7 linked regions of the Canis lupus familiaris genome follow. The protein of the gene in region 1 interacts with the protein of each later gene in a pairwise test. Links are inferred from orthologs where the notes say so. Each region holds a gene or a part of one and is shown in the gene's direction. Other genes may lie near its edges.

Region 1 (3,500 bases):
GGTGCCCGGGGCTCGGCGTGGCTGACCTCTGTCCTGATCTCTGATCGGCAGCCCTTCGAGGCCCTGGGGGCCAGTCCATCATCAACGGAAACTGGGCTGTGGATCCCCCTGGGTCCTACACGGCCAGTGGGACTGTCTTCCTGTACAACCGTCCTTCTCGAGAGGAGGGCAAGGGGGAGAGTCTGTCAGCCCAAGGCCCCACGACCCAGCCTGTGGATGTCTACGTGAGCTTGGGGCCTGGGGAAGCTGGACAGCTGGCAGGGAGGGAGGGAGGGCCTTCCCTCTGGGGCACAGCTGTGGGTCACGAGATGGGGGAGAAGGCTAGCGGTGTGCCCTGGCCGCCCCCACCCCGGACAACTCCTCCCAACTCTCTCTCCAGGTGATCTTTCAGGAGGAAAACCCAGGCATTTTTTACCAGTACATCGTCTCTTTGCCTCCTGCAAACCCTGAGAGCACCACCCCAGAGCCCCCCAGCCCCCAGCTGCAGCCAGGTGAGGCTCTGCTCCCCTCACCTAGGGGGCGGGGAGGGACTGGAAGGGGAGCTGTGAGGCAGTGGGCTGTATCTGATCTGCCTGCGTGACTGACCACCCTACACAGAGATCCTGAGGGTGGAGCCCCCACCCATGTCAGTGCCCCGGCCGGCCCGGACCCCAGGCACCCTCCAGCGCCAGGTGCGGATCCCCCAGGTGCGCCCTCCTCCGCTGCCCAGGACACCCCTGGGGTCTCAGACTGGGTACTGGAAGCGAATGGGACACTCAGAGTGCTCGGCCTCTTGTGGAAAAGGTGAGACTTGGGATCCCTGGGTGGCGCAGCGGTTTGGCGCCTGCCTTTGGCCCAGGGCGCGATCCTGGAGACCCGGGATCGAATCCCACGTCGGGCTCCCGGTGCATGGAGTCTGCTTCTCCCTCTGCCTATGTCTCTGCCTCTCTCTCTCTCTCTGTGTGACTATCATAAATAAATGAAAAAAAAATTAAAAAAAAAAAAAAAAGAAAAGGTGAAACTTGATGCACTAGGCCTGTATTCCTGGCACCTTTAGACTAAGACCCTGACAGGGCACTCCTGACCCCACACCCTGGATTGAGGATCCATACCTTGACTCTGTGTGAAGATGAATTCCAGTGTCTGGAGCTGCACGGACGCTGGGCTCTGGGCCATCCTGCCTCCCCTGGCTTCCCTGTCATCTCTTCAGGTGTTTGGCGCCCCATTTTCCTCTGCATTTCTCGTGAGTCAGGGGAGGAACTGGACGAACACAGCTGTGCCATGGGTGCCAGGCCCCCGACCCCCCTGGAGCCCTGCCATGGTCCCCCATGCCCGCCCTAGTGAGTATGACCCACAGGGAGGGCTGGGGTCCTAGGAGCACAACAGTTGTCCCCGGCAGACGCATTCACACCGCCTTAGCGTATTGCCCTGGACTCTGCACCCAACACACTAGGCCTCCTGGCTGCAGAGACCCAGTGTTTGATTGGAAAGGCTCACGCTCCCTGGACAGGAGGAGAACCCTGGCAGCCCGAGCCCCACAAGGGAAATTGGGCTCCAAGTGATGAAGACACCCGCCCTGCCCTGCAGGGTTTCCCTCCCCCAGGACTGTCATCCCTTGCCCCACCCATGGCAGCCCTGCACACCTGTGTTTTCTTTATCCATGTCTCTGCTTCTTTCTTGCCCTGTTACCCCACAGCTGGGAGGCTGGTGAGTGGACGTCCTGTAGCCGCTCCTGTGGCCCCGGCACCCAGCATCGCCAGCTGCGCTGCCGGCAAGAATTTGGTGGGGGTGGCTCCTCTGTGCCTCTAGAGCGCTGTGCACATCTCCCTCGGCCCAATGTCACCCAGACCTGTCAACTGCGCCTCTGTGGCCACTGGGAAGTTCGCTCCCCCTGGAGCCAGGTGAGTGGGGCCCGGCAAGGGAGCTGCCAGGGTGGGAAGGACCCTAGGTGGACGGGTGCCAGTGAGCTAGAGCAGTGGTTTTCCTGATCCTTTTTAACTGGCAGAAGCTTTTTAATGACAAGACCTGAGCGTGTGAAACCCCAGCATATAAGTCAGATGAGACCCTGAACCGGGGATTGGGGGCCCAGAGCCACCTGTCGAGTCTGCCCCTCAGCCCATACAGCCCTATAGGTGCTGAGTTAGGGAAGAAGGCAGGTCCTGGTTGCAAGGCCCTGGAGCCCGAGGCTGGAGGCCCAGAGGCCCGGAGGCTGGGCTCTCACGAGCTCTCCTCCCCAGTGCTCAGTGCGGTGCGGGCGGGGCCAGAGGAGCCGGCAAGTTCGCTGCGTGGGAAACAACGGCCATGAAGTGAGCGAGACGGAGTGTGCGTCAGGCCCTCCGCGGCCCCCCAGCAGAGAGGCCTGTGACATGGGGCCCTGTACCACAGCTTGGTTCCACAGCGACTGGAGCTCCAAGGTGGGCCCCACAGCCCTTACCCGAGTCATGCATCCCTGGTGCCCACACCCAGGACCTTTCCAACACATTTTGGTCCACATTTACTGAACAAGCCCTGGTATGTGCTAGATGTTGCTGATGCTGGGATTCCGAGTTAAGTGAGAAGAACTCACGTTAGGGTCCCGGACTCCCATTACAGGTTCTTCTTACCTGGGTGGTACCCGGGGCACTCCCCAACTCAGGGGATCCAGGACGGGCCCCCCTCAACCCCTTTTCCTCCTCCCCTACCCATCACCTTCTCAACAGTGCTCAGCCAATTGTGGGACTGGAATCCAGCGACGGTCTGTGGTCTGCCTTGGGAGTGGGGAGACCCAGGGGCTGGGCCAGGAGGAAGCAGGGGCAGGGCCCAGCAAGCAGAGCTGTGCACCGGGAAGCCGTCCCCCAGACATGCGTGCCTGTAGCTTGGGACCCTGTGAGATGACGTGGTGCTGGTACACGGGGCCCTGGGCCGAGGTGAGCCAAGAGCTTGGAAGGGGGCTGGCAGGAGTGATCCCTGTTCTCCCTTCCCCTTGCACACCCTGCCCTTCCTCTGTATCAGTGCTCCTCAGAATGCGGTTCTGGCACGCAGCGTAGAGACATCATTTGTGTGTCCAAACTGGGAACTGAGTTCAACGTGACTTCCCCCAGCAACTGTTCCCACCTGCCCAGGCCCCCTGCCCTGCAGCCCTGTCAGGGGCAGGACTGCCAGGACCGATGGTTTTCTACTCCTTGGAGTCCGGTGAGTGCCTGACTCCCCTGTCTTGTTGAGCTTCTAAGGAAAGTTTGGAGGCTCCACTCCTGGTATCCCCATTGTGTCCCAGCATGAGGCCAGCTGCAGCTGGTTTATTATTGCCCCACTTCCTGTATACATGGAGGACAAGTGGGCCCTGTCAATGTGGGATTGCATAATGTTCCTGGTGAACCCCCCCCCCCAACTACTTTCAGAGAAGGAGGTGGCCTGAGGTTCAGGAGGAACCTGGGTCACAGCAGAGGTCTGATTTGATAGCGGGGTCTCCGCAGTGTTCTCGCTCCTGCCAGGGCGGTATTCAGACCAGGGAGGTCCAGTGCCTGACCGCCAACCAGACTGTC
Region 2 (4,028 bases), on another chromosome or scaffold:
GAAAGAAAGAAAGAAAGAAAGAATCTAGCAGATCTGGTTCATGTCGGAGCTGGATCAGTTTCCCACCTGTTTCCTCCCTGCTTGTCACCCACCCTGGCTGCGACCTCCTTCTCCTCACTGGTAAGTGGAGATTATGTACTATATATCACAGATACGTGTATAACAAGAGAGCCCCTCCACACCTCCCCACCTCCCTCAGTATAAAATCCCAGGTCCTCTATGCAGCTACAGGCCTGGCTCTCAGCCTGAAATTCCACATTCAGTCACAAAGAACCATGAACTGTTTACACTCATTAATAGGCTCCAGACGGGGCACACAGACCCACAAACAAAGCTTTGGAGGTCAAGTAGAAAACATTAGAACATCTATACTTTTTCATCTCCGTTTCTTTTGGTGTGTGTGTGTGCGTGTGTGTTAAAGAATAGCTTTATGTAATAGGGGCCTCTGGCTGGTTCAGTGGGTGGAGCATGTGACTCTTGATCTCAGGGTCACGAGTTCAAGCCCCACCTTGGGTGTGGAGCCTATTTCAGGGGAAAAAAAAAATTGTGCTGGCCCAGAGGATTCTCAACCTTCCGATTTACAGTGCAGATTCCCAGGCACCCCTGGACTACAGGCTGTTGCTGGACTGCTAGGCACCAGTGACCTCTATTTATCCAACAAGCATCTCCTCCTTCGCCCAACTACCTCCAGCTGTGGCACACAGTAGGCGGCTTAGTGACTCGTTAGGCTACCCCATGCCAGGTGCTACTAAGCGCTCCACCCCGGGTCTCGAATCCTGGCAATCACACCCAGCCACGATGTAGCCGCTGTTATCATCCCCATTTTACAGAGGAGTAAACTGAGGTGCAGACAGGTCCGGACGTAGCCGCGGAAGAGCCTCAGAGCGAGGAGGGGCCCCAGGTCCCGAGGGAGGGGAGCTGCGAGAGCGATGAAGTGGGGAAGCGCGAGCTGGGGGGGGCCCGGAGATTCGCGGCGGCCTTGCGATGCGGCCCCGCCCCCACGAGGGACGTGAAGACGCGGACCCCGCGCAGCGTGGGGACATGTGACCGACTGCAGAGGCCGCGCCGCCTCCACCGCCCGAGGCCCGCGCGCTCCGCCGCAGGGTGCAGACCCCCGGCGCCCGCGGGGCCTGGGGCGCGAGGGCAGAGGCGGAGCCGGGGCGGAGCCAGAGCGCCCCGTCCACGCCGTCACCCCCAGCAATCGAAAGCGAAAGAGGGGGCCGAGAAGGAAGGGCGGAGCCGCCCGGAGGCCCCGCCCCCTGCCCTGCGCGGCTGCTGGACCCGGGCGCGCCCAGGTAGGGGGGCTCCGAGCGCGCAGTGCGGCCCCTCGCGGAACCCGCGCCGCCGCCGCCGCCACCATGTCTCAAGAAGGTGTGGAGGTAGGAGATGCCTGCGCCTGGGCCGGGGGCCCCCGAGAGGCGCCGGGGGCGCCGAGGGGGCTTCGCAGTTCTGGGGACTCCATCCGAAGCCCAGACCTTACCCCTGGCGGGCACTCGCCCCCCCTCGGAAAGGATAATGACCGCCCCGGCCCCCCAGAGTGAGATGCGGCCTCCTCGAGGAAAAGGGGGGCTGCAGGGTCAAGGGTCAGAGGCCAGGTTACCTGGCCGGCCTCCTCCCCTAGCCGGGGGCGCTCGCCCCACTCCGCTCCCTCCCCCAATGCCCGGTGGGGACTTTGGCTTCTCCCAGGAAATGCCGTAGAGGGATGGTGGGGGAGGCCAAAAGCAAGGGTCAAGTTCGGGCGGGGAGAAGGATGCCTAGAGATGGAGGAGGGCAAGTCGCCCCTCTCCTTCCCCGATCGGAACCCCCCTGTGCCCACCCCAGCTGGAGAAAAGCGTCCGGCGCCTCCGGGAGAAGTTTCATGGGAAGGTATCCTCCAAGAAGGCGGGGACTCTGATGAGGAAATTTGGCAGCGACCACACCGGAGTGGGGCGCTCCATCGTGTACGGTGAGCCGGCTGGGGTCCCGGCCCTGGTAGGGGAGAGGAGGGGGGAGCGCGCGAGGGAGGTGTGGTCTGTGTGAAGAAGCGCCGCGCTCATCTTCTGGGGAGGGTCTATATTGGGGTTCTGGGGACCCTGAAACTCCCAGAAGATCCTTCAAGGACCTTTTACTTACACTTAACTCTTGCCACCAGGGGTAAAGCAGAAAGATGGACAGGAACTGAGTAATGACCTGGATGCCCAGGTAAACTGCCCCTCTTGCCCTCCAAGGATGGGGTAGCTGGGGACCGGGAACGGAAGGAACCTGGTGTATCCATGATGAGCCCCATCTGTGCACCACCAGTTCCTAGTTCATGATCCACATTGACTTAGTCACCTTTTAGTCATGCGTCTGACCCGGGAGCCTGCAAACTGTCGGCACTCATTACATGTTGGTGGTATTAAGTGGGGGAGAGAATCGTGAAATTGGGCGGTGAAATGAATCAGGACTGATGTCATTACAGAGGACCCCTGGAGGTCAGTCGGGAAAGGCTTCCTGGAAGAGGTGGTGCCAGCTTTGATGCTGGGGAGAAGGGATCCTGGGTGGTGGGGGAGTTGGAAACAGTCTTCCTGGAAGAGGGAACAGAGTGAGCAAAAGAACACGCAAGACAGGCTAAGATAAACATGAGATGGGGGAGGAGAGAGGGCAGGGGAGCCCATATGATGAATGAATGGCTTTGAGGCACAAATGCAACATGGCTACTTTACACCTTAAATGACTTTGGTGGCCAGTGCACTGTGCATTTCATCTTCCTATAAGGCCCCCCCCATAGTTGCTGAAGAGTATAATAAGGTACATATTGAGTTATTTATATTTACATGTGTAAAGGGTATGATAAAGGTAATAGGAGGGGCGCCTAGCTGGCTCAGTCTGGGGAGCATGCTACTCTTGATCTCAGGGTCGTGAGTTCAAGCCCCACATCAGGTGTGGAGCCTACTGAAAATAATTCTTTAAAAAATTATAGGAGGGACGCCTGGGTGGCTCAGCGGTTGAGCACCTGCCCCTGGCTCAGGGCGTGATCCTTGGTCTCAGGATCGAATCCTACATCGGGCTCCCTGCCTGGAGCCTGCTTCTCCCTCTGCCTACGTCTCTGCCTTTCTCTCTCTGTGTCTTTCATGAATAAATAAATAAAATCCTTTAAAAAATAATAATAAACAAATTAAAAATAAAAGTAAAAAATTATAGGAAAGTGAGCACTCCCCAGCAGCAGGCTTTCCGCGTGTTGCCTCCAATTCCAACCTGAAGGCACTCGCCAAGCAGGCCAAGCAGGTGGCATTTAAGCCGTTTCCACCTAGAACCATAGCTGCGCTCTGAGATGCCCCTCATTAGGGATGCAGGGGGAGTGATTTGGCTCCGCCCTCGCAGCGGGAAGTGCTGGAGTCGGATGGGAACCTGTGTCTGTCTGAATCCAGAGCCCAAGCCCTTAGCCTAAAGCGGCATGGACTCAAAGAGGTGACCCCTCACAGTGCCACCAAGTGTGTGGCATTTACCAGCAGGGAGGGAGCGCGGGGATCCAGGCCTCTTCTGCCATTCTCATTCAGGGTGATCTCCGGCCACCCCTCTCCCAGCTCTGCCTCAGTTTCTTTGTCTGAGCGGTGGGGATAATAGGTGTGCCCTCCACTGTGAGGACAACTGAGGTCGTGTACCTGGCCATCTACAGGCAGGCCCTGCTCAGACAGCCCTTCCTGAGTTAGGGACTCCCTACTCATATGGGGCCAGGACCCTGCCTCCCTCCTCGTCCAGGAGCCTCACCCCCAACAAATAATGGTAAAAAGAGGTCTGAGCTGCACCCGCAGTTCCTGCCCCTGATGTTTCCACCCAGGACCCACCGGAGGACATGAAGCAGGACCAGGACATCCAGGTGAGTCCGGGGTATGGGATGGGGGGAGGTGGAGTGAGGAGGACATCCTTGGGGAGAGTGGATGGTGTCCATGGACGAGGAGAGACATTATAGCAGCAGGAGAGGAGACTTACGCGTGTTCATATTAGCGGAGGAGGCGTGACCACCCTCTTGTCCCTATCCCGAAGGCCGTGGCGACGTCCCTCCTGCC
Region 3 (4,270 bases), on another chromosome or scaffold:
GAGATCAACAAAAGAACCGACCAAAGCCTTATTAAAGGTCCTAAGAAGATCTCCCGGGTCCTTTGAGAAGCAGTTAAGGAAACAGTGTGCCCTCCATCATATTCTGTTACCGTATTTTATTCGGGCTCCAAAGGAAAGTGTCGCTTGGGGGGAGGGGGAAGTACTTTGATGAGCGGCGGCCTCGGCCCCTTTTGACTGCGGGGCGCCCCCTTCCTCTCCTCCTCCTCCTCCTCGCCCCAGCCCCGTCCGCTCGGGGGCCCGACCTCGCGGCCCGGCGGCGGGCGCTCCCACGGCGCGGCGCCCCGCGGCTCCCGGACTCGCCCTCGCGCTCACTCCTGCTCAAACTTTTCACTCCGCCTGTTGGGATGGAGGGGAGGGGGGACTAGGGAAGCCGGGGAGGAATTCCTCGAAAGGGACCCAAGTGGTGCCTAATACTCAGAAGGAGGTGCCACCTAAGAGGAACCGCCTGGCTCAAGGTTGGGGCGAAACCCTTTTGGGGGGGTGGGGGCGGGGGGCGCCTGGAGACGTCCAGCAGGTACGCGGGCTCCAGAAGTTAGTTCGGCTGGGAAATGGGCTTCGCCAGTACGAACAATCCGGGGAGACGGCCCCGAGGAGGCTCCCTCTGCGGCGCGGGAGGAGGAGACGGAGGCCGGGGGTCTGTGGCCGCGTCTGCCGCCCCCGCCCCCGCCCCCGCCCCCGGTGCAGGGCGCCCGCGAAGGAGGCGGGGTGCGGAAGGGAAAGTTTCCCGTTAAGACCTCCCGGGGCAGGAGGAGAGCGGGCGCCTTAAGGGGGCAGGAGCCGCGGGGCTCCAACGCCCGGGGAGACGCGCCGAGGACGGGCGCGCGGGCCCCGGGGGACGCGCAGCAGCGGGGGAGCGGCGGGGCCTCCCCCGCGGGGGCCGAGCGGGCCAGGCGGGGTCCGCGCCCCCCGCCGCCCCCGGCCCCCGCGCCCGCCGCGTCCGTCCGCAGGTGGCGGCGCGGGGAAGGCGGCCGCTGGGGCCCGGGGCGCCGCCCGGGGGGAGCCGGGGGGGCCCCCACTGCCCTGCAGCCCGCGGCCCCGGACTCCTCGAGCGCACAGCCCCGCCGCCGAGCCGGGTGGCGCGCGGGAGAGCCCGGGAACCGGTTCCCCGGCCCCGCGTCTCCTCTCCGCCACTCCCTCGCGGGCGCCGACAGGGCGAGCGAAGGGCGGGGACCCCCCCCCCCGGGCCGGCCTCGGGCCCCGCGTCCCCCCTCCGCCGACGGGCCCTGGCGCTGCGGCCGCTGTCCTCGCCTCGCTCTGCGCCGCGTTTGTCAGCCCAGCCCTGGAGTTAGCGCGCGCCCGGGGCGGGGCGGGCGGGCGCCGAGGGCGGGGTGCAGGGGGCGGAGGAGGGCGGGGGCGCGCGGAGGTAACCCCCGGCTCGGGCTGCCATTGCCCGGCTCGCTGTCACTCAGCCCGCGCGGGGCCGGGGATTGGCAGCACGGCCCCGTTACGCACTCACCTCGCGTTCACATACCCGGGGAGGGCAGTAGAAAGGTGATCAATCTTCATCAGGCTACATTTCCAATCACCTAAACAACCCGGCAAGACAAGCCACTCCGACAAGGTAAATCGCTTGATTTATTTAGTTCGCAAAGTGCCTCGGCGGGACTCCCCTGGCCCCCGCCGCCTCCGCGCTGCACCCGGACTGCAACTGCAGCCTCGAGCCGCCCCCCAACGCTGCCCCTCTCACCCCCCACCCGCCTACCCCTTGCGGCCCCTCGGCGCGGTCCCGGGCGACGTGGTGTCTCGGGGACGCGTAGGGCTTTGCAAACAAAGTGTCTGTGCAATAAAGTGAAACCTGGAGGGACCCGCACAAAGCCACCGGGAAGAAAGAGAAGGCAGGAGGGAAGTTGGGGAAAGCAAGAACCCCGGGGAGCCGGGACCCGCCGTCCGGCCCGGCGAGTAACCCCCGCGCCCTCTGTCTTTGCAGGTCGGCTGCCCCGCGGGCCTGCGCGAGGGCGCGAGGTAGATGGTGAGCGGCCCCGGCAGCCGAGGGCAGGTAAGCAGACAGCCGCGGGGCCGCCCTGGCTCCGGGAGCGCGCCGCCTGCTCCCACCCCGGCCCCCGAGCCGGTCCCCGCTTCCCAGGTCCCCGGCAGGTGGGCGGGGCTGGGGGGCGGCCTGGCTCCCCTCCCGGCGCGCGGAGGACCCCCGATCCCCGCCGCGGCCCCGCGGCCCCTCCCCCGCCTCCTCCGAAGTCAGCGAGCTCAAGTGCTAAGTTTGAAGAAAGTCTCTGGAAACTCACGCTGCAGCTCGGCAGAGGCGCGGCGGCCCGGCGTGCCCCCCTCTCTCTGGGCCCCGGAGCCCCGGGCTGCCCCTCCTTCGCCCCCCTTTCCCTGCCAGCTGGGGTCCGCCAGCCCAGACCGTGGGGCCTGGAGGAGGGGCGCGGGAGGCCGCCCCGGCTCTCCCCGCCCTCCCCGAACTCCCCAGCCCGGCCCCGGGCCTGCTTTGAATCCCCCGCGACGCGGGGTGCAGCGCAGGGTCCCCCGGGGCCGCGGCCGCGCCCCCCAGCTCCACTCCCTGCCCCTGCGAACGGCGCCGCGGGGGGAGGCGAGCGGGGAGCCGGGCTTCGACCTGGCGGCCCGGGTCAGCCGAGCTGCGCCGCCGAGGCCTAGTCGCGTCGGCCCTGGGCAGGGTCCTGGGCCGCGGGCCGGGCGGGCGGGATAGGCCGGGAGCACGCGGGGGCGCGGCGCCCGGGCCTCCCCGATCCGCGACCCCTCGGGGCGCCGGGCGGGCCGCCCTCCGGCCTCCGCCCGGGCCGCGCTGTCCGCAGCCAGCAGCCAGCAGCCAGCAGCGGGCAGAAAGCAGCGGCGGCGGGCGTTGTCGGGGAGGGGGCCTGCGGCGGGGCCTGGGCGCCCCTGACCCCCCGCCGCGCCCTGGAGCCCCCGCGGCCCCCGCGTCCGCGTCTCCTGGCCGCCGTGGGCCCGGGCCTGTTACTGTGGCCCAGGTGTGCTGGGCTCCCCGGGGAGCGGCCTCTCCGCGGCCGGGCGCAGGGAGGTCAACTGGCAGGGTGGCCGTGGGCTCGGGGGCCCAGACCCAGCGGGGACACCCTTGCAGGAGCGCACCCTAAGTGGGCCCTGCCACCCGGAGAGGCCCAGGTGCCGCTAGCCTCCCGCGGCGCCTCACCTTAGCTCTCCCCGACCCTCCACCTTTTCATCCCGCTTTTCAAAAACATTTTGAAACGAAACGAAACAACCTCTGGTGCCCTGGGCAGCCTGCCTCACTGGCGCCGAGTAAACGTTTGCTCTTGCAGTATGGAGGCCGGCTCCTACCCGACCAGAATTTGGCCTAGACTTGGGACCTTGCACGCCGGGCGTTTTAGGCCCTCACTTTCCAGCTTGGCCCTGCTTTTAGCCTCTCCGCACTCCTAGCGACGCCCTACGAGGGTCTTTTACCCATTCCACGCCTGAGAAGAGGCGATGACGATCCAGAAAAGCTGACTTTTCAAAGAAGCTGTGGTCTTCCGGCCAAGGCCTTGTAGAGCCAAGCTGACCGCCCTTCCGAGTTCCGCAGGCCTGCGTGCCCTCCCCAGCCCCCGGCTGCTCGCCTCCGACGAGACCAGGAAACCGAGATGGCTCCCAGTCACTGTTTACCTGTGTCTCCTGTCTCCATAGGCCGGGCCCCCCGACGCAGCAGAGTTTGAAGGACTGCGCAGTGGGAGCCCCGCACTGCGCCTGGCCCCGGCCCCCTGGATCCGTCCGGGCGCCTCCACCCGGCTGTTAGCATGATGTCTTACCTCAAACAACCCCCATATGGCATGAACGGGCTGGGCCTGGCCGGGCCAGCCATGGACCTCCTGCACCCTTCCGTGGGCTACCCGGGTGAGCACCAGTCCCTGCCCCCAGCCCCTGCAAATCTTGGGGACGCCCAGACTCTTGAGTTTGAGCGCACACTCGGTGTCTGAGCAGGCCCGGGGAGTGGGATGGCGGGTCTGCCTGCAGTGCTCTGCACGCCGCAGGCTCACAGGGCAGTGGCGGGTGCATGAGGCAGGCCAGGCCAGTGAAGCTGGGCAATCTGTCTCTTGTGGTCCCACCACCAGCACAGGGCCCACTTACCCAAGGATTCGTTTCTCATGGGTGGCTTTTTTGGGGTGTGTGTGTGTGTGTGAATCTATTCCTTTCCTCCCAATGTTGAAAGAGAGATTTGGACACTCTCTAGGCCCTGACAGGAAGGGCCAGGCTTTTCTTATGAGAAGTGACTGGCTGAGACGAAGAAGAGGGGCTCTCCCTCCCTAATTGAATTGTCCTCTACATC
Region 4 (4,142 bases), on another chromosome or scaffold:
CGGGAGGTGGGAGGAGAGGCCCAGAGAGGGCCGCTCCCTCCCGGGCCTGGCCTCGCCCCCTCCCGGCCCCGCCTGGCTGCTCTTGCCCTCGCTGCACACCGACTGGGCAGGCGGCCGGCAGGAGCCCCCTGCCTGGGGGAGTCCGGGCGCCTGCACAGCTTACCGGCTGCTGTCGGGCCTCTGGCTGGCGGCGTGCAGGGCAGGGGCTGGGGGCAGGGGTCTGCGGGCCGGCCTCTTCCCCACCCACCCCACCTTTCCCCTCTTGCTTCGTGCCTCTGCTGGTTCCAGTGGCGTCTCCTCTGTCAGGTTTGTCTCTTCCCCGTCTCTGCTCCCTGGCTGTCTCTCCTCCTCAGCCTGGCCTGAGATCTCGCTCGTCTCACTTGCCCTTTGACTCTGTCTCTCTGCCTCTCCCTTTGTCTTGTGTCCTCTCTCCTTCTCTCGTCTCTGCCTCCGTCTCCAGGCTACCTGGCCATTCCTTCCCTCGCCCCCTGGGGTCTGCCAGCATGCAGCCCTGGAGAGGAAAATCCTGAACTGCCTCTGTTTTCTCCACCTGCCCTGCTATCGTTGGTTCTAATTGCTTCTGGAGCAATGAGGGCTCCCAGAGTGGCTACTTGCCTATCTCGGGCCTGCCCTTGACCACAGAGTGCGGGGTGGGCCACCGACAAGCTCTCCGTGCCTCCTAATGCCTCTGTGTCCCCATCAACTGGGCCTGGCCAGTGGTGCTGGGCCCCTGGGGCATCCCTAAGGTGACATCTTGTAGCCAGGCCTGGGCCAGGGTGTGGGAGACCCAGAATGCCCCTGGGGACCCCTGGACCCGTGCTGTCCAGAATAACGCCACTCCGGGATGGGATGGGATGCCGGGCGAGCAGGATCATGGTGCCCCACTTCTCGGGAAGGCAAAGTCCACCTGCGGAGTCCAACCCACCCACCCTGCACCATCCAGAGCTTCTGGCTCTGCCCATGGACACCCCTGAGCTCCGCACATAGGGCGGGGACACCTGGATTTCTCTGGCCCCCTGAGTGGGGCCAACTTGGAGGAATTTCCCAAAGCCTATTAGAGCAGTGGCTGCCTCCCGCCTGCCTCCTCGGGCTGGGCAGGGCTGAGGGCGGAGGGAGAGAGGGAGGGAGGGGGGAGAGGAGGGAGGGAAAAAAGTTGGCAGGCCGACAGCAGAGCTGTGTCTGCATCCATCGCTGAGAGGAGGCCCGTGAAGTGCGGGGCGGGCCAGGAGCAAGGAGAGGCCTTCCTCCCTTTGTGCTCCCCCCCCTCCTCTCCTCCCCCCGGGCCCTATAAATAGGCCCAGCCCGGGCTGTGGCTCAGCTCTCGGAGGGAGTCGAGCACCAGGCAGCGGTCTCAAGCCAAGCCCCCTGCCAGCATGGCCAGCGAGTTCAAGAAGAAGCTCTTCTGGAGGGCGGTGGTGGCCGAGTTCCTGGCCATGATCCTCTTCGTCTTCATCAGCATCGGTTCTGCCCTGGGCTTCAACTACCCGGTGAGGAACAACCAGACAGCAGGTGCGGCCCAGGATAACGTGAAGGTGTCACTGGCCTTCGGGCTGAGCATTGCCACCCTGGCCCAGAGCGTGGGCCACATTAGTGGCGCCCACCTCAACCCAGCTGTCACGCTGGGGCTGCTGCTCAGTTGCCAGATCAGCATCCTCAGGGCTGTCATGTACATCATCGCCCAGTGCGTGGGGGCCATCGTGGCCACCGCCATCCTCTCGGGCATCACCTCCTCCCTTCCGGACAACTCCCTCGGCCGAAACGAGGTACGTGGGGTGGCCCCAGGTGCTGGGCTCTGGAGCAGAGCACACGCGGCATAGGTCTCATCCTCACCCATTGTGCAGATGGGGACACCGAGGAGCAGAGAGGGCACGAGCTGGCTGGAGGTCATGAGGACTTGGGGCTGGAACTCAGCTACACCTGCAGCCCAGAGCCCGTTTCCTACCAGGCACCGTGGGAAGCCGAGACCCAGAGAATAATAGTCTGGCCAGTGTCCCCTGCAGGCGTCTATCGTGGGGAATCAGCTCTGGAGGCAGCTACCAATTGTGGGGACAGCAGCTCCTCACCCCTCGGCTGTAGCTTCTAGGTCTCCACTCTGCCCGGCCGGGGCAGCCAGCTCCCTCTTCCTACAGCCTGGACCCTGGGGACACGCTGCCCGCTGTCCCCAGCCCCCCGAAGCTGGGTGCCTGGCACATTGGCGCGGGTCAGCAGCTGCATGAGCAGGACCCATGGGTGGCCACACGGACCCTCAGCCCGCCCCATATTCACACAGGTCCCCAAACAAACTGCCTTCAGGGAAAAAGCCCCTCCTGCTCCTTGGTCCCCGAGAGTTAGATGAAGCTGCGGGGCAGCGGGGGTGCGGTGGGGGCAGGTGAAAACATTCTGGCTGGTTTGCAGGTGGTTTTCCTGGATTACAGTAGGGGTGGTGGCCAGGGTGGGGACATCTCGCCTCCCGTCTGGGCTCCACTCTCTGTCGCCGGGCACCGTGAGGTGTGGCACGTGTGTTTGTGTGTGTGAACGGTGTGTGCACGTGGATGCTGGCATGGGTCTCCGGGCTTGTGTAAGCTGTGCGCTCCCGTGGGTCTGCGAGTGTTAGTGCAGCCGTGTGAGTGGGCGGCGGGGGCGGGGGGCGGTGAGTGTGTACCTGTGCATGCCCATTGCCCCTGGCCCCAATGGGGTCTGGGCCGGGGGCACTAATGGTGAGCAGATGTTGGTGAGTGGGTGGCAGGCTGCTGCAAAGAATTCCTCCCGGGCCGCTTAGCACAGCTAATTGGCCGTTGGCGGCAGTTGCCTGCTGTCGCAGACCTGGGCTTTTCCAGACCCTCGGCCAAGTGCAAACTCAGACCCAGCCCGGGGCCACCGCGGCGGGGGGAGGCTTGGCCTGAGAGAGGCTGAGGAAGGCTCGGAGGGTGCCTTCCCGGGACAGGGGAGTGGCGCACGAGCACACGGGAGGAACCAGATCTGCAGAATCGGGGCTCGGGGCCTGGGCAGGGCAGGCGGGGGCAGGGACCGGGAGGGAGCCAGCCCAGGGCCCCAGAGACCGCGGCCCGGGATTACAGCGATTGTTGTCCCGCTTCCCAGCCAAAGTTCAGATCCTGGCGCTGCAGCTGCGGGGAGGCTTGGTAAGGCCTGGTGCAGAGGGCAGCTGGCGAGGCCTTGGCTCGGGCTGGGGGGGATTAGCACTTCTTGTGTCACAGTGACACCTTACCCGGCCCCCTCGCGGAGCCAACCGCTGCTCGGCCCAAGATTGAAGATTAGCCCGCGGGCTGGAGTTTAGACTTTAGTCGAAGAACGTGGTGGCCGAGGTGGGTGGAAGGGACGAGAGCTCCGGCAGGCTCTCCAGAGGGCAGGGCCAGGTGACTCCGGGGAGTGACCCCCGGGTGGGGTCAGGTTCAGCCGTGGCCGGCTCGGTGGGCAGGGCGGGCGGTGGCGAAAAGGTGCCCGTTGGGGAGGGGTTGAATGTCCGCAGGCCCCTGCCCTGTCTTGACCCTCCTTCTCCAGGGACAGGCAGGACAGGCATCTGTGGGCAGACGTCGCGTTCTGACTCGGGCATCACGGGTAGGTGCCGGGAGGGTGGCCGCCTACCGTGGCATCTTCGTCTGGCCGCAGCCTGCTCCAGTGTCCCTTCCCTGCCCCGGCCTCCGTTTTGCAGAGTCGCCCAGATGCCTGGCTGGGCCGTTGGCAGCTGGGGGAGATAAAGGGACAGGCTCCTGCCGGGGACAAGCACGCCGGGCTCACGTCCTGTCTGCTGCTAACCTGTTGCGTTTTCCTGGAGCTGAGGATCCTGAGACTCCAAGAAGGAACCTAGGTCTTTATAGATATTTCCTGGCCCCTCCTAAACCACCAGCAAGCTCACTCTGGGGACTTGTGTTTATCACCCTTCCCAGGAGGGTCTGGCTAAGAGGAGCCCACGGGGGGCCTCGCTGACCATAAGATTCCTGAGTGTTGTGGTGGGGTGCAGGCACTGTCCTGTCTACACCAGGGAGGTTTGGGGTTCCAAAGTCTGGGCCTAGAAACAGAAAGCATCTCTCCCAGGGCTCCTGTCAGACGCTGGACCTGCGATGTGAAGGCATCTGAAGTTCCTGGCAGGTGGCCCTGATGCCTCAAGAGAGGCAGAGACCGGTCTCTGCAGCAAGTGACACACT
Region 5 (3,500 bases), on another chromosome or scaffold:
GAGAAATTGGAACTCGCTCACACATTGCTGGTGGCAACGTAGAATGGTACAGCCACTGTGGGAAATAGTTTATCAGTTCCTTAAAAAGTTAAACATAGAATTACCAAATGACCCAGCAATTCAGCTTTTAGGTATCTACCCAAGAGAAATGAATACATATGTCCACACAGAAACTCATACATGCATGAATATAGCTGCATTATTTATAGTAGTCCCAAAGTGGAAACAACTCAAATGTTTCTCAACAGATCAACAGATCACAAAATGTGATAGAGCCACACCATTGAAATATTAGGCAGTTGAAAAGATGAAGTATTGATACATGCTACAGCATGGATGAAACCTCCAAAACATTATGCTCAAAGTCAGTGTAGCCATATTTGTAGGACTACACTGCTATGAAATATCCAGAATAGGCAAATCCATAGACCGAGAGTAATGCTTGTGAGGAGCTGGAAGGAGGGAAAAATGGAGACTGGCTGTTAATGGGTATGGGGCTTCTTTTTGGTGTGACAAAATGTTTTAAAATTAGAATGATGGTGATGGTTGTGTAACTCTGTGAATATGCTAAAAAACATTAAATTGTATATGTTAATGGGTGAATTTTATTGGTGTGTCAACTACATCTCCATAAGCTATTATATATCAAAAACATTAGTGACTATATTATCCTAATTACTTGAAAATGGAAAAGTGTGTGCAAATTACATTTTTGCCAGAGGCTGGAAGGAAGGAGGAGCCGGCGTTAGTATTGGATGGATACTATGTTTCAGTTGTGCAATATGCTAAGAGTTCTGGAGATGGATGGTGGTGAGCCATCAATGAACTTAATTACACAGAACTGTACCCTTAAAAATAGTTATTTTACCACAATAAAAATCTATAATCCAAAAAAATTATATTTTATGTTATTCCAATGTATATAAGGCTTTTACCCCCTCTCTCTTTTTTTCTTTTTAGCAAGAAGACTGAAAGTGTGATTGGCCTTTTGGTTTTTGTGGATGGGATTCTTCTGTTTTAGAATTTCTATTCAATATGTGTGTTTGTTAGGAAAGGGAGTGTTGGTTATACACACACATATATGTCTTTATCTTGGCTTTGAATGAGAATTTGAAAATGCTTTTTAAAACTTTATTTGCCAATAGGAAAATAAAAGAGGCCAAACTGTAGTAAAATTTATATTGTTAAATCATAAAATGGGCAAATGCTGTTCTCAGAGTATGAATTGTCACAGATGTCCTGATTTTCTTGGTTAATCTTGGCTCCTGGTATGGGAAAAAATTTATACTTTATATATAGAACATATCTTTCTATAAGCATTTTCCTTTGCAGAGTAGAATAGAATGAGCACCAAAATGCATTGAAAGTACTCACATAGGTGTTCTATTTGTACAATACAATAGGTGAGTTTTAGAATGCAAAGGAAGGGATGGAAAAATGAAAAAAAGAAAAAAGAAAATCAGCAATGAGGGAGTCACTGAAAAAGGAATTGAATGATTTCTAAAGGCCATGGAACTTTGTTATAACCCAGGCAGTTTGTAGGCTCTAAAGTTTGTAACTTCTAAGGATTAATCTGTGAAAACATTTTCTAAGCCTGGCTGCTGTATAGGACATTTGAATTTGAAGATTGATGGTGCAAATGCCAGTAGTGCCATTAGTATAAAGTGTAATCAGAGGTATGTTTGTTTTTCTTGACCAGGAAGTGTTTTCTTTTAAAAGTACAAGAAATGTACTGTGCCTGTGTGAGTGTGTGTGTCTATGTATTTTCTGTCTGTTCTTCCATTGCAGGAAGAATTATGGTCTTCCAACATCTTTGTCCTTTATAGTAGGGGTTTTTCTAGAATTTGGCACTGTAGTATATTTCCCTTGATTACAGGATCCAATCAGAGTTGTACTCAGAAATCCATTGATGTGATTAATGGTCTCCTAATCATACTTTTATTTCTAGATTAGCCCAATTTCCTGTACTTTCACAATTTTTGAGTCATATATTGAATTATCCTTTATGGGGGGCCTGAAATATTTGTATTTTTAGTCTGTAATTTGCATGATTATTTAAATTTTCTTTGATTTCTTTTGCTTGAAGAAAATGAAATTTTGGTCTTTTTTGAACTCTGAGTGCTGTTCTATGGTAAAAGGCCAACCTGGTATGAACTTTTTTTTAAAACTATATACATTTTTTTCCATCGGCCCTAGGTCTAGAAGTCTTTGCATAAATGTCCACTAGCCTAGGTTTTATTCTTCTCAAAAGTAAAGTATTCTCAGATTCTCCAAGTAACAGGGAAGTAGACCAGGAAATGACTGTACAGGAAGTGTAATTGATCATTCGTGCTTTACATTTGATCACAGGATTGGCTAATAAACAGTCTATTGAATGAAATAAATTGACTTCTAAAATCTCTGGGGCCCTTGAATACATTTGCAGATTATTAACGCCTTTGTCACCTTACTGATTTTTTAAAAATCTCCTACCTTTTTCAAATGATTGTCTGCATTTGAAAGGGGGACTTTTTCATACCAAGTAGTTGCTTTAATATTTGCTTTGTTTTCCACAGTGCCCTTAAAGATAGCCGTTTCCCCCCAATGACAAGGGATGAGCTGCCACGGCTGTTCTGCTCAGTGTCTCTTCTCACTAACTTTGAAGATGTCTGTGATTATTTGGACTGGGAGGTAAGAGTATAGACATTTTTGAAAGAGAAATGAAGGTAACTCCTGCGTAAATGTTAAAAATTAGATCCAGGAAGCAACTCTTTCAGCCCATTCTCTATTGTAGTGCAGGTGAGGAGAGTAAGGTGGAGAAATAAACCTCACAGCTGATCAATGAGATAACAGTGAAGGAGGTTTTTTCTGTTTTTGTTTTTGTTTTTAAGGCAAAGTGCCATGTGTCATTTTTGTCCTTAAACTGAATTTGCTGTTTATTTTTATCCTATTACTTTAGCACAGCCCCTCATAAAAGCTGTTAATAAGTAGTAAGAAGGACTGATCGGAATTTATTCCTTCTATTTCCATTCTGATGTACTTCAGTGTAACTGCCACCCAGCAATTGGGTGTTGTGAGGACACATCTCAGAAGCAAGGAGCCAAAAAGTTAGGATAATACACCAGTAGGGGAAATCAGACTGTGGATACAGATCAGAGTGTTTGTTAACTGCAGTTAAATCTTGTTCACTCATTCTTGGCTACCTTATTTTGTGTACTTAACCATGCTAACAAATAATATTAAGGTTATATCATGATGATCTCTGAACATTGTCATGATTGAAGTAGCCTAGATTTGTCATATTTTTTATTCATTAGTATGTGGGGTTGGGTTTTTAAGGAAGTTCAAAGGTTCTCACCATGATTTTGTTTTGGTCATTGTGAGGAGATAGCTGAGCGTGTGTTTATGAAATTTCACACATAATAGTGCATATGTCACTGAATGCCTACTGTATTTGAGGCACTGTGCCACATATACAAAAGTCCTAAGATTTGCTCTCCACCATGAACCATCCTTCAGTC
Region 6 (4,214 bases), on another chromosome or scaffold:
CACCACTCAGTCGTTCGGCCAGCCTGGCCCCTGAGGCTCCCAGGACCCTGGAGAGGCCTGGGCATCTGGGTCTATGTTGGGGGGGGGTTGGGGGGGGAGAGGAGAAGCAGCAGAGGGGCTGGATGGCAGCTGGGCTGACCAGCCCTCCAGCAAGGATGGCCTCCGAGGGCCCCTGAGCGCAGGAGGCCAGGACACCAGGGACCCAGAGGCCCCGCCGAGTCGCAGCTCAGCAACTCATCAGCCTCCCATCCCTCCTCCCTGCTAGAGGGCCCGGGGGACGCCCGCAGAGCCAAGGCTGGCTGGTTGGGCCACTCCGTGTGCCAGCGGCAGCCCCCAGTGTGGCCTCCAGGAGGGCAGAGGAGAGGACCTGGGGCTCCCGGCCTGATCCACAGGAACAGAGCACGCGGCCCTCGCACAGGGACACAGATCTCAGCCCACGACTGTGAGGCAGGCCATTCCCACAGACACGGAGCCCAGAACTGGGTCCCTCGCCCTGTCCTAGCTGTGCGACCACGGGCAAGCCCCTGCCCCCTCCCCCCGCCAGCCCGAGGTCTCAGTTTCCTCATCTGCAGATCGGGAGACCCGCAACCACAATCTTGTATCTCAAACCATCGGGGCCAGATATGTTCCAGAGTTTCCAATGGTTTGGATGTGGGGAGAGGAAAGGTCTTTCTTTTTCTTTTATTTATTTATTTTTTAAAGATTTTATTTATTTGTTCATGAGAGACACACAGAGAGGCAGAGACACAGGCAGAGGGAGAAGCAGGCTCCATGCAGGGAGCCCGATGGGGGCAGGACTCGATCTCAGGACCCCGGGGTCACGCCCTGAGCTGAAGGCAGCGGTTCAACCACTGAGTCACCCAGGCGTCCCAGGAAAGGTTTAGTCACACCCTAATACTTCTGCAGGGAAACAATGAATATGCAAATGAAGTGGGATACATAAAAACCAGGTCCCTGCAGAGGCGGGGTCAGGTTCCACCACCAAATGATTTACGGAAACACACCGGGTCTTCAGAGAATTCTGCACTCCCCAGTTACACACGGGAGGCGGCAGACCTTGCCCGGCACCCAGCTCAGAGGGGCGAGGAAGCCACATGAGGGCAGCCCACCCATGGTGACCACCGTCGAAGCGCTTGCGGGGTCCACCTGGGCCCCAGGGGCCTCACTCCTCACCATGGCTCTGTGCCACAGGAGCTATTTTTATACCCATTTCCCAGGTGGAGAGTGGAGGCCAGGGGCCGACCAACCCCGCGACCGCCCCCTCCCCGGGGTCCGCTGGCCTGAGTCCTTGCCTTCCTAGGCGCACAGCGAGGACAGGGTGAGGGGGCCCGGGCCCCTGCCTGCGGTGCTGCTAACCTGTCACCACACAGCTAGTAGAGAAAGGGAAAAGGAAAGGAAAAGCGAAACCCATTTTTCAAGCCCCGCCTTTCCCAGAAGCGTTGCTTCAGTAGTTGCTGTTCTGAGCTCGGCTCCAGCCTGTCGGCCCCTGGGAGTAGGCCACGGGGGTCTCAGGCTTTCCCCGGGACCGCAGCTCCGGCCGGAGACTCCACCCTTGCTGCCTGGCCTCCCACAGGCCCCCGCCACCGGGCGAGAGGACCCCCCGAGAGGTGAGGACTGGGGGGGGGGCCTCCTCTCCCCAGGCACCGAGGCCACAGTGAAAGCAGGCAGGGGAGGGAGGCTGCTTCCTGCCCTGACGACTGGGCTAAGGCACTTGGTTTGGGACAAAGAGCTGTCACCAGGGTCCCCGGAGTTCAAACCCCTCCTGCCAAGGATCTGACCTCAGGAAAGGTCTAAACCTCAACCTCTTTGATGGTATATCAGGGGAGGACTCTCTCCTGGGCTGTTTGAAGTTTAAATGGAAACAGGATTAAGAAGGTGCGAGGACAAACCAAGGTACGTCTCCCCTCCACTGGCTGGGGAACACCCCCCCCCCCAAGCCCTAGACGAGAGGGCCCAGCCCCTGGAACATAGGAGGCCTCACTGGTGACAGGCTTTTCCCTTGAGGGGATGTCATCCTCACAGAACAAAAATGCTCAGCAGCTTGTCTCTGAACTGCAAAACCATCTCATGTTCCCAGGATTGTAGGTTTACTGGGGGGAGGTTTTGGGAAGTGGGGGGAGACAGTGGTAAAGATTTCGGGGAGTATCTCAAAGCCGTGTTCTCTGAGCAAGCTGCCTTTATGAGGGAGCTGGTTTGCAGGACAGGGGCCTCTGGACAGCAGAATGAGGCTGAAGGCTCCCCAGGCAGGCAAAGAACAACTGCCATAAATACAAGCTCACAAGTGGAAAAAGAGAAGGTGGGGGGGGATGGGACCTGGGCTGGACCAAAGGGCTCCCTGGGTCACCTTCGCTTCTCATCCCATAGGATTCATGGGAAATGGCAAGGTATCACAGGGCGCCGGCAAAGAATGGGGGTTTTTCTTTTCTTTTCTTTTTGAAGATTTATTTATTTATTTTGAGAGAGAGAGAGCGAGCAGGGGTGGGGGCAGAATGAGAGGGAGAATCTCAAGCAGATTCCCTGCTAAGCCTGGAGCCTGACCTGGGGCTCAATCCCAGGACCTGAGCTGAAATCAAGAATCAGATGCCCAACGGAATAAACCACCCCCGCACCCCAAGACTGAGGTTTTTCAACCTTAACCCCACTGACATTTTGGGCTGTGTCGTCCCTTGTTGTGAGGCTGTCCTGTGCATTACAGGGCGTTTAGAAACAGCACTGGCCTCTACCAACTCAAGGCCAATAGCTGCACTTCCTGCTTCTCCCAGAGTTGTATGGCAATTGAAAATGACTCCAGATATTACCAACACCCTCGGGGGAGAAAACTCACCCGCGATTAAGGTCTGCTGCTCTAGGCTTGTATTGCAGACCTAGCTGGAATCACACTGTGCTCTCGTATCTACCAGTTGCATGGCACTGGTGCCCTGTGCCTCAGTTTCCTCATCTGGGAAATGGGGATAATATTAGCATCTATGTCAGAGAGCCATTGAGAGGATTAAAGGTGTATAAAATAGGTAGATGCACGTCTGACACAATTAAGCACAAAAATGTGCCTCCTATTATAGGTCACGTGCACTCTGGAGACAAATCCCTGAAACTTAGCTTGATAAGCCAGTTAGAACACATTTTTTATCTTTGATGCAGTAACTCTACCTCAAAGACAATCCCAAAGAAATAACCAAATGTGTAGACCAACTTTTATGTAACGATCCAAAAGTATTTATAAAGCAAAGACTGTAAAAACAAACAAAAACAAAGCTCAGGGCAGCCCCAGTGGCGCAGGGGTTTAGCCTCGCCTGCAGCCCAGGGTGTGATCCTGGAGACCCTGGATCGAGTCCCATGTCAGGCTCCCTCCACGGAGCCTGCTTCTCCTTCCTCCTGTGTCTCTGCCTCTCTGTCTCTATGAATAAATAAATAAGATCTTTAAAAAAAAAAAAAAAAAAAAAAAGCTCAAACTGAAGACAACCCAAAGATTCAATGGTAGGGGAGTTATTAAATACATAATAATACATCTATCTAATGGAATGTTGCACAGCCTTTAAATAGCTTGTTTGAAACTATTTAATAATACCGGGCACCATAACGTTGATGTAATGTTAAGTGACAAAAATTCGCACAAAACTGAATGAATGATGAGTCTAAACTTTGTTTTGCTTGTAAATAAAATGTCCCCAGTGGTTATTTTGTGTGATGAGAATACAGAATAATTGTATTCTTTATTTCCAAACTTTCTACAGTAAACCTGTATTTATTTAAATCATTAGAAGAAGAAAAAAACATTGCAAGGATTTTTGTGCCTTCAAAATATGTATGGGAGGACTTTTCTCCTAAGTTCTTTCAGAAATAGAGAGGGAGAGGAAGATGACCAGGAGAGAGAAGGCCTATCACGACCATAGCATTTCTGACCAAAACTCTGGGGCCAAGCACCAAATATAGAAAAAGAAATGAGAGAGAGTGTGTTCTTTCCTAGGGACCGAAACAAAAGCACCACCGACTGGGGGGATGGAAACAACAGAAATGTATTCTCTCACCCTGTGATTTCCTGTAAATACAATGTCTCTTACCACTTCCACCAACCTAGTACAAGCAGCCATCCTCTCTTGCTCTAACCACCACGATCACTTCTAACTGGTCTCTTTGCTTCATCTCTTGCAAATCCAGAATCTCTTTTCCAGCCAGAGTGATCATTCTAACATATAAGTTAAATCAGGGCCACCACT
Region 7 (4,066 bases), about 2.1 Mb from region 1:
AAATCTTAAAAAAAAAAAAAAAAGAACCAGAGAATCTCTGAGTTTACTAGGGCAGAGGAAAGACAAAAGGCAGAGAAGCGAATTTGTCAAACCTAAGTGTATGGTTTTTTTTTTTTATGAAAAATAAGCTTTTCAACAAAATAAAGCTGTTCATTCAAAAAGGGTGGCCTTGTACGACGTGGCATTCCCCCATCGCTGTTTGTTTAAGTGGTATTATCTTGTTAGAAATGTAGTAAACGGTATTATACCCTTCACTGTGCAAATATTTATTAAAAGCTTACTCCGGACAAGATGCATGCAGAACAGGAAGAGGAATCAAAACTAGACTTGCTCTCTGCCAGCCTTCAAAGCAGTGCTTGACACTTTAATATGTATACACATTCCCCTGAGGATCTTGTTAAAATGCAGATTCTGATCCTGTAGGATAGAGCCTCAGATTCTACACTTCTAGCCAGCTCCCAGGTGATGGCAAAGCTGCTGGTCTGTGTCACACACATTGAGTGATAACGGTTTCCGCTAGGGAATCGGAAAAGCACATAATTATAACACAAAGAATGAATTAGTAAATACCATACACGTTCCATTAATCATCAGCAAAAACCTAGATCCGTTCCAACCCGAGGACAATCTCTGTCCTTTTCTGCTCTCACTGTTCCTTCTCTTCTTGTTGGTCTTCCTCAAATGGCATTTCTTTTGGGGTTGCTCGTTGCATTCGCGGTTTCTTAGCTCAGAATAGCTTTCTCCTCCTCTTCAGACCAGTTTCACGCATCTGTCAAGGTTTCTCGCCTAATTACTCCTTCCTCACTGGGGCCCCAGTCGAGGCTGCTCCCCACCGCAGCCAGCTGGAAGGTACCTCAAGCAGTCGCCACTACTTCCTTCTGATTCCAGGAGGAAATTCTGTTTCTAAATCCCTGGAGGAACCCACCTGTCCGGGTTGCCCAGAGAACGTTCTGTTTAACCTGAAGCCCGGTGAGGCGGGCGGCAAGGAGGCAGCGCCGCTTCTCCGGGTACGGAGCGCCTGAGGCCGGGAGGCGGCCCTGCGGTCCCTGGAGCCCGTCTGCTCCGGAAGGCCGGCCCGCGGCTGACCGCGCCAGGGTTTCTGGGTCGGGTGGGCGGAGCCCGCGCCCCGCCCCGCCCCGCCCAGCCCGAGGCCAACGCGGAGCGGGCGCCCCCGCCTGGCGCGAGAGGCTGCCCACCACCGAGGCGGCGGCGGCGGCGGCTAGAGAGGCCGCGAGCTCGGGAGCCGTCGCCGCGCGGCCGTAGGGAACGCGCGCGGGGCGGGCCTGGCGCCCCTGGCCTCGTAGCCATTTTAGGAGGAAACCCGGATCTCCAGCCCGGGGCGCGGCTTCAATTTCAATAACTTTATTGGTGGACGTAACCGCAGAACAGCCATCTCGCGAGTGGCTAGGGGAGGAGGAAGAGCATCGCGGGAGGTGACTGGGGTGGGGGCTCCCCCGGGCAGTGAACGCGGGGATGCGGGGAGTTCCCCGAAGCGGGTTTCCCCAGCGGCGGGCGTCGAGAGGCGGGTGGCGGGTGGCGGGTGGGGGGTGGGGGGCCGCGGGCGCTGCCGGAGGCCGAGGAAGGAGGGGACCCCGGGCACGGCTTCCCTGGGGCGGGGATTCCCTGGCCCGGGTCCCCAGGCGCAGGGGCGGAGCGGGGGGCGTCCCTGACGCGGCCGCCGGGTGTTAAAGCCCCGCGTGGTTCGCCCCGGCAGGTGGCCCCCGACTCGAGCTACAGCCATGGGAAACACCACCAGCGACCGGGTGGCTGGCGAGCGCCACGGCGCCAAGGCTTCTCGCGCCGAGGGCGCCGGCGGCCACGCGCCGGGCAAGGAGCACAAGATCATGGTGGGGAGTACGGACGACCCCAGCGTCTTCAGCCTGCCGGACCCCAAGGTGAGTCTCCCCGCGCGCGCCCCGGCGGCCCAGCCCCCCTCCCCTTCCGGGCTCCTCCTCATCCCACCGACCTACGTTACGGTTTTCTGAATTAAAGGGATGGGGCTGGGGAGGGGGGGGGGGGGGGGGGGACGGAGATGTTGGAGGGTAACTGACGCCTGCGGCGCTGCCTCGAAATACTATAGAGGCGGGGTTTCTGTCGTTCGCCTGACCTGCTGGCCATATTTTTACGATGGGGACTGTAGAGTCGTCCCCCCCCCCCCCCCACAACGCCACACACACACACACACCCATCCCCGGTTTTCCGAACAGGCAGGAGCCCTCTTGGAGAGTAGTGATGAGTTTATGGGTTGTAAACCCTATAGACCCTGGTAGAAAACTTCAAAGACGGTAGGTTGCCTGAGTGGCTGATCATCTGAGACAGTTTCTCAGGTTTACCCTGAGGTAGGCAAACGAATTTCTTTTTTTCTGATAACCTGTAGGTATCAGTATCATTTTTGCTCCTCTAAGAACCCAGCACTTCGGATCCTCTTCCCCTTTGGCAGGATTGTGAGCAGCAGCCACTTGCCTATTTGATACTTTCTCCTCGTCTTGGAGATCAGTACAGGACTTCCTTTGGCTGACTGCTCAGTTGTTCATCTCATCCTTTATATTGCGGTTGGCTGAGGTGCTTCCTTCTTCACACCCAGCTACTGGTCAACTGGGAGAGCAAACGATCCAGGATTTCTCCTCTTCCAGTAGGAATTCGTGATGTTACCATCGCTGAAAACGGACAACCCGCAGCTGCCGGGCAGGCAGACCTTGCTCTCAAATCCAAGGACTTCCAGAAAAGCGGCAACTTGTGCCCACCCGTAGATTAGATGGAGTTGACTGCAATGGGATTACCATCCGAATATTTCTAGTCCCATTTAGAGCTGTCAGCATGAAATAACAATAATCCCTCCAGGCAGTCCGAGTGGGAGGAAGTAGAAAAAATGGAGGGATTGAGGAGATTCAGGTGTGTTTGATGTTTTTTTTTTTTTTATCACTTCAAACCTTTCACCAAATTGGGGTTTTAGGGAGTAAAGAAATGATTTGCCCCATTGGTAGCACATGAAATTTGGATTCTGTTTATTTTCTTGAATCCCAGTTGAAAACATAACTACAGAAAAAGAAGTGAAGGTGGTTAAAAGCACCATCTTGGGGTTTCGTCTCCATTCCTTTCTTCCTTCTCCCACTTTAGAACTTCTTTCTCAGCATTTGGGCCATCTAGCCAGTCATTTTGAATTTCCTTAGAAGCTTTCTCAAGGTGATCCACCTCCTAATTTTACCCTTTTCCTATGTCAATGACTCAGGATTTAAGTACAGTGTATTTGTCAAACTCTGACTGCAATAATTGGTGTGCTGAATAAAAGCCAGGTTGCTCCATCTGAAATGGAGCCTATTTTGGTTCCTTCCTTCCCTAACCCCAGTCTTGCCATTTGTGAGTAAGAAAATTGGTTCAGATAATTCCTAAGGTCTCTTATACATGTAAAATTTTATAGTTCTCAATCTAGTCTCTTTACTTCTTCCTTCATTGTTTTACTTAAATATTTTCAAACTGTAGTTCTCATTGTTTTGCCTCTTTTCATAATGATTTTGCTGACAATTTAACTTGGAGTAAATGGTCTTTCTGCTAGTCAGCTGCACTCAGGCCTGCCACGGAAATGTCATGTCATATGTGGAAGGGCTTTCTTCCAAAGCCGGGCATGTTAATAGTTTGTAGCTTTCAAATTCGAAATTGAAAATACTAAATCATCAAAGTGACTCATAGAAACAGTGGCAGTGGGGTCAACATTGCTTCAAATGCCAGTCCTCTTCAGTGGACTAGGTCAGTGGTTCTCAACCCTGTTTGCACATTAGAATCACCTAAAATTTGTTTAAACACTGTATGGAAAATTAGAGACATTTTCCATGTTTCAAAGTAGTTAGAGTAGTATAGTAAACTCCTATATACCCATCACCCAGTTTAAACAATGATTAAATTTGAACAAATTTATGTCATGCCTATGCCAGTCCACTTCCCCCTACCAAATATTTTGAAACAAATTCCAGACATCCTATCAAATATTATTTTATCTGTAAATATTTTAGGATGTATCTGTAAAGTTGAGGTTTTTTCCTTTGTTTAACATAATCACAGTAATAATATT

What was found.
Region 2: the proteins of ADAMTSL4 (region 1) and SHFL interact in binary tests that used the Homo sapiens proteins (3 or more experiments, as listed by UniProt). The two-hybrid records come from large-scale screens. The link is inferred for Canis lupus familiaris from reciprocal best matches to the Homo sapiens genes ADAMTSL4 and SHFL.
Region 3: the proteins of ADAMTSL4 (region 1) and OTX1 interact in binary tests that used the Homo sapiens proteins (3 or more experiments, as listed by UniProt). The two-hybrid records come from large-scale screens. The link is inferred for Canis lupus familiaris from reciprocal best matches to the Homo sapiens genes ADAMTSL4 and OTX1.
Region 4: the proteins of ADAMTSL4 (region 1) and AQP1 interact in a two-hybrid assay, tested with the Homo sapiens proteins (2 studies listed by BioGRID and IntAct). The link is inferred for Canis lupus familiaris from reciprocal best matches to the Homo sapiens genes ADAMTSL4 and AQP1.
Region 5: the proteins of ADAMTSL4 (region 1) and AMMECR1 interact in binary tests that used the Homo sapiens proteins (3 or more experiments, as listed by UniProt). The two-hybrid records come from large-scale screens. The link is inferred for Canis lupus familiaris from reciprocal best matches to the Homo sapiens genes ADAMTSL4 and AMMECR1.
Region 6: the proteins of ADAMTSL4 (region 1) and APOL6 interact in binary tests that used the Homo sapiens proteins (3 or more experiments, as listed by UniProt). The two-hybrid records come from large-scale screens. The link is inferred for Canis lupus familiaris from reciprocal best matches to the Homo sapiens genes ADAMTSL4 and APOL6.
Region 7: the proteins of ADAMTSL4 (region 1) and PRKAB2 interact in binary tests that used the Homo sapiens proteins (3 or more experiments, as listed by UniProt). The link is inferred for Canis lupus familiaris from reciprocal best matches to the Homo sapiens genes ADAMTSL4 and PRKAB2.

Annotation. Positions count from the first base shown.
Region 1 is NC_049238.1:60,400,499-60,403,998, forward strand, and holds part of ADAMTSL4 (ADAMTS-like protein 4), read left to right. Parts: intron 1-51; coding exon 52-224; intron 225-379; coding exon 380-491; intron 492-597; coding exon 598-783; intron 784-1,189; coding exon 1,190-1,319; intron 1,320-1,675; coding exon 1,676-1,880; intron 1,881-2,216; coding exon 2,217-2,393; intron 2,394-2,678; coding exon 2,679-2,885; intron 2,886-2,970; coding exon 2,971-3,150; intron 3,151-3,431; coding exon 3,432-3,500. UniProt on the Homo sapiens protein: Positive regulation of apoptosis. May facilitate FBN1 microfibril biogenesis.
Region 2 is NC_049241.1:51,360,908-51,364,935, reverse strand, and holds the start of SHFL (shiftless antiviral inhibitor of ribosomal frameshifting protein), read left to right. Parts: upstream 1-1,228; 5' UTR 1,229-1,358; coding exon 1,359-1,379; intron 1,380-1,821; coding exon 1,822-1,945; intron 1,946-2,131; coding exon 2,132-2,181; intron 2,182-3,799; coding exon 3,800-3,838; intron 3,839-4,005; coding exon 4,006-4,028.
Region 3 is NC_049231.1:64,119,541-64,123,810, forward strand, and holds the start of OTX1 (homeobox protein OTX1), read left to right. Parts: upstream 1-1,470; 5' UTR 1,471-1,582; intron 1,583-1,948; 5' UTR 1,949-2,017; intron 2,018-3,228; exon of another isoform or gene 3,229-3,630; 5' UTR 3,631-3,740; coding exon 3,741-3,837; intron 3,838-4,270. UniProt on the Homo sapiens protein: Probably plays a role in the development of the brain and the sense organs. Can bind to the BCD target sequence (BTS): 5'-TCTAATCCC-3'.
Region 4 is NC_049235.1:43,684,966-43,689,107, forward strand, and holds the start of AQP1 (aquaporin-1), read left to right. Parts: upstream 1-1,342; 5' UTR 1,343-1,373; coding exon 1,374-1,763; intron 1,764-3,136; exon of another isoform or gene 3,137-3,555; intron 3,556-3,649; exon of another isoform or gene 3,650-4,142. UniProt on the Homo sapiens protein: Forms a water channel that facilitates the transport of water across cell membranes, playing a crucial role in water homeostasis in various tissues.
Region 5 is NC_049260.1:84,074,199-84,077,698, reverse strand, and holds part of AMMECR1 (AMME syndrome candidate gene 1 protein), read left to right. Parts: intron 1-2,555; coding exon 2,556-2,670; intron 2,671-3,500.
Region 6 is NC_049231.1:29,543,420-29,547,633, reverse strand, and holds the start of APOL6 (apolipoprotein L6), read left to right. Parts: upstream 1-1,414; 5' UTR 1,415-1,607; intron 1,608-4,214. UniProt on the Homo sapiens protein: May affect the movement of lipids in the cytoplasm or allow the binding of lipids to organelles.
Region 7 is NC_049238.1:58,294,633-58,298,698, reverse strand, and holds the start of PRKAB2 (5'-AMP-activated protein kinase subunit beta-2), read left to right. Parts: upstream 1-1,266; 5' UTR 1,267-1,433; intron 1,434-1,438; exon of another isoform or gene 1,439-1,522; intron 1,523-1,714; 5' UTR 1,715-1,739; coding exon 1,740-1,895; intron 1,896-4,066. UniProt on the Homo sapiens protein: Non-catalytic subunit of AMP-activated protein kinase (AMPK), an energy sensor protein kinase that plays a key role in regulating cellular energy metabolism.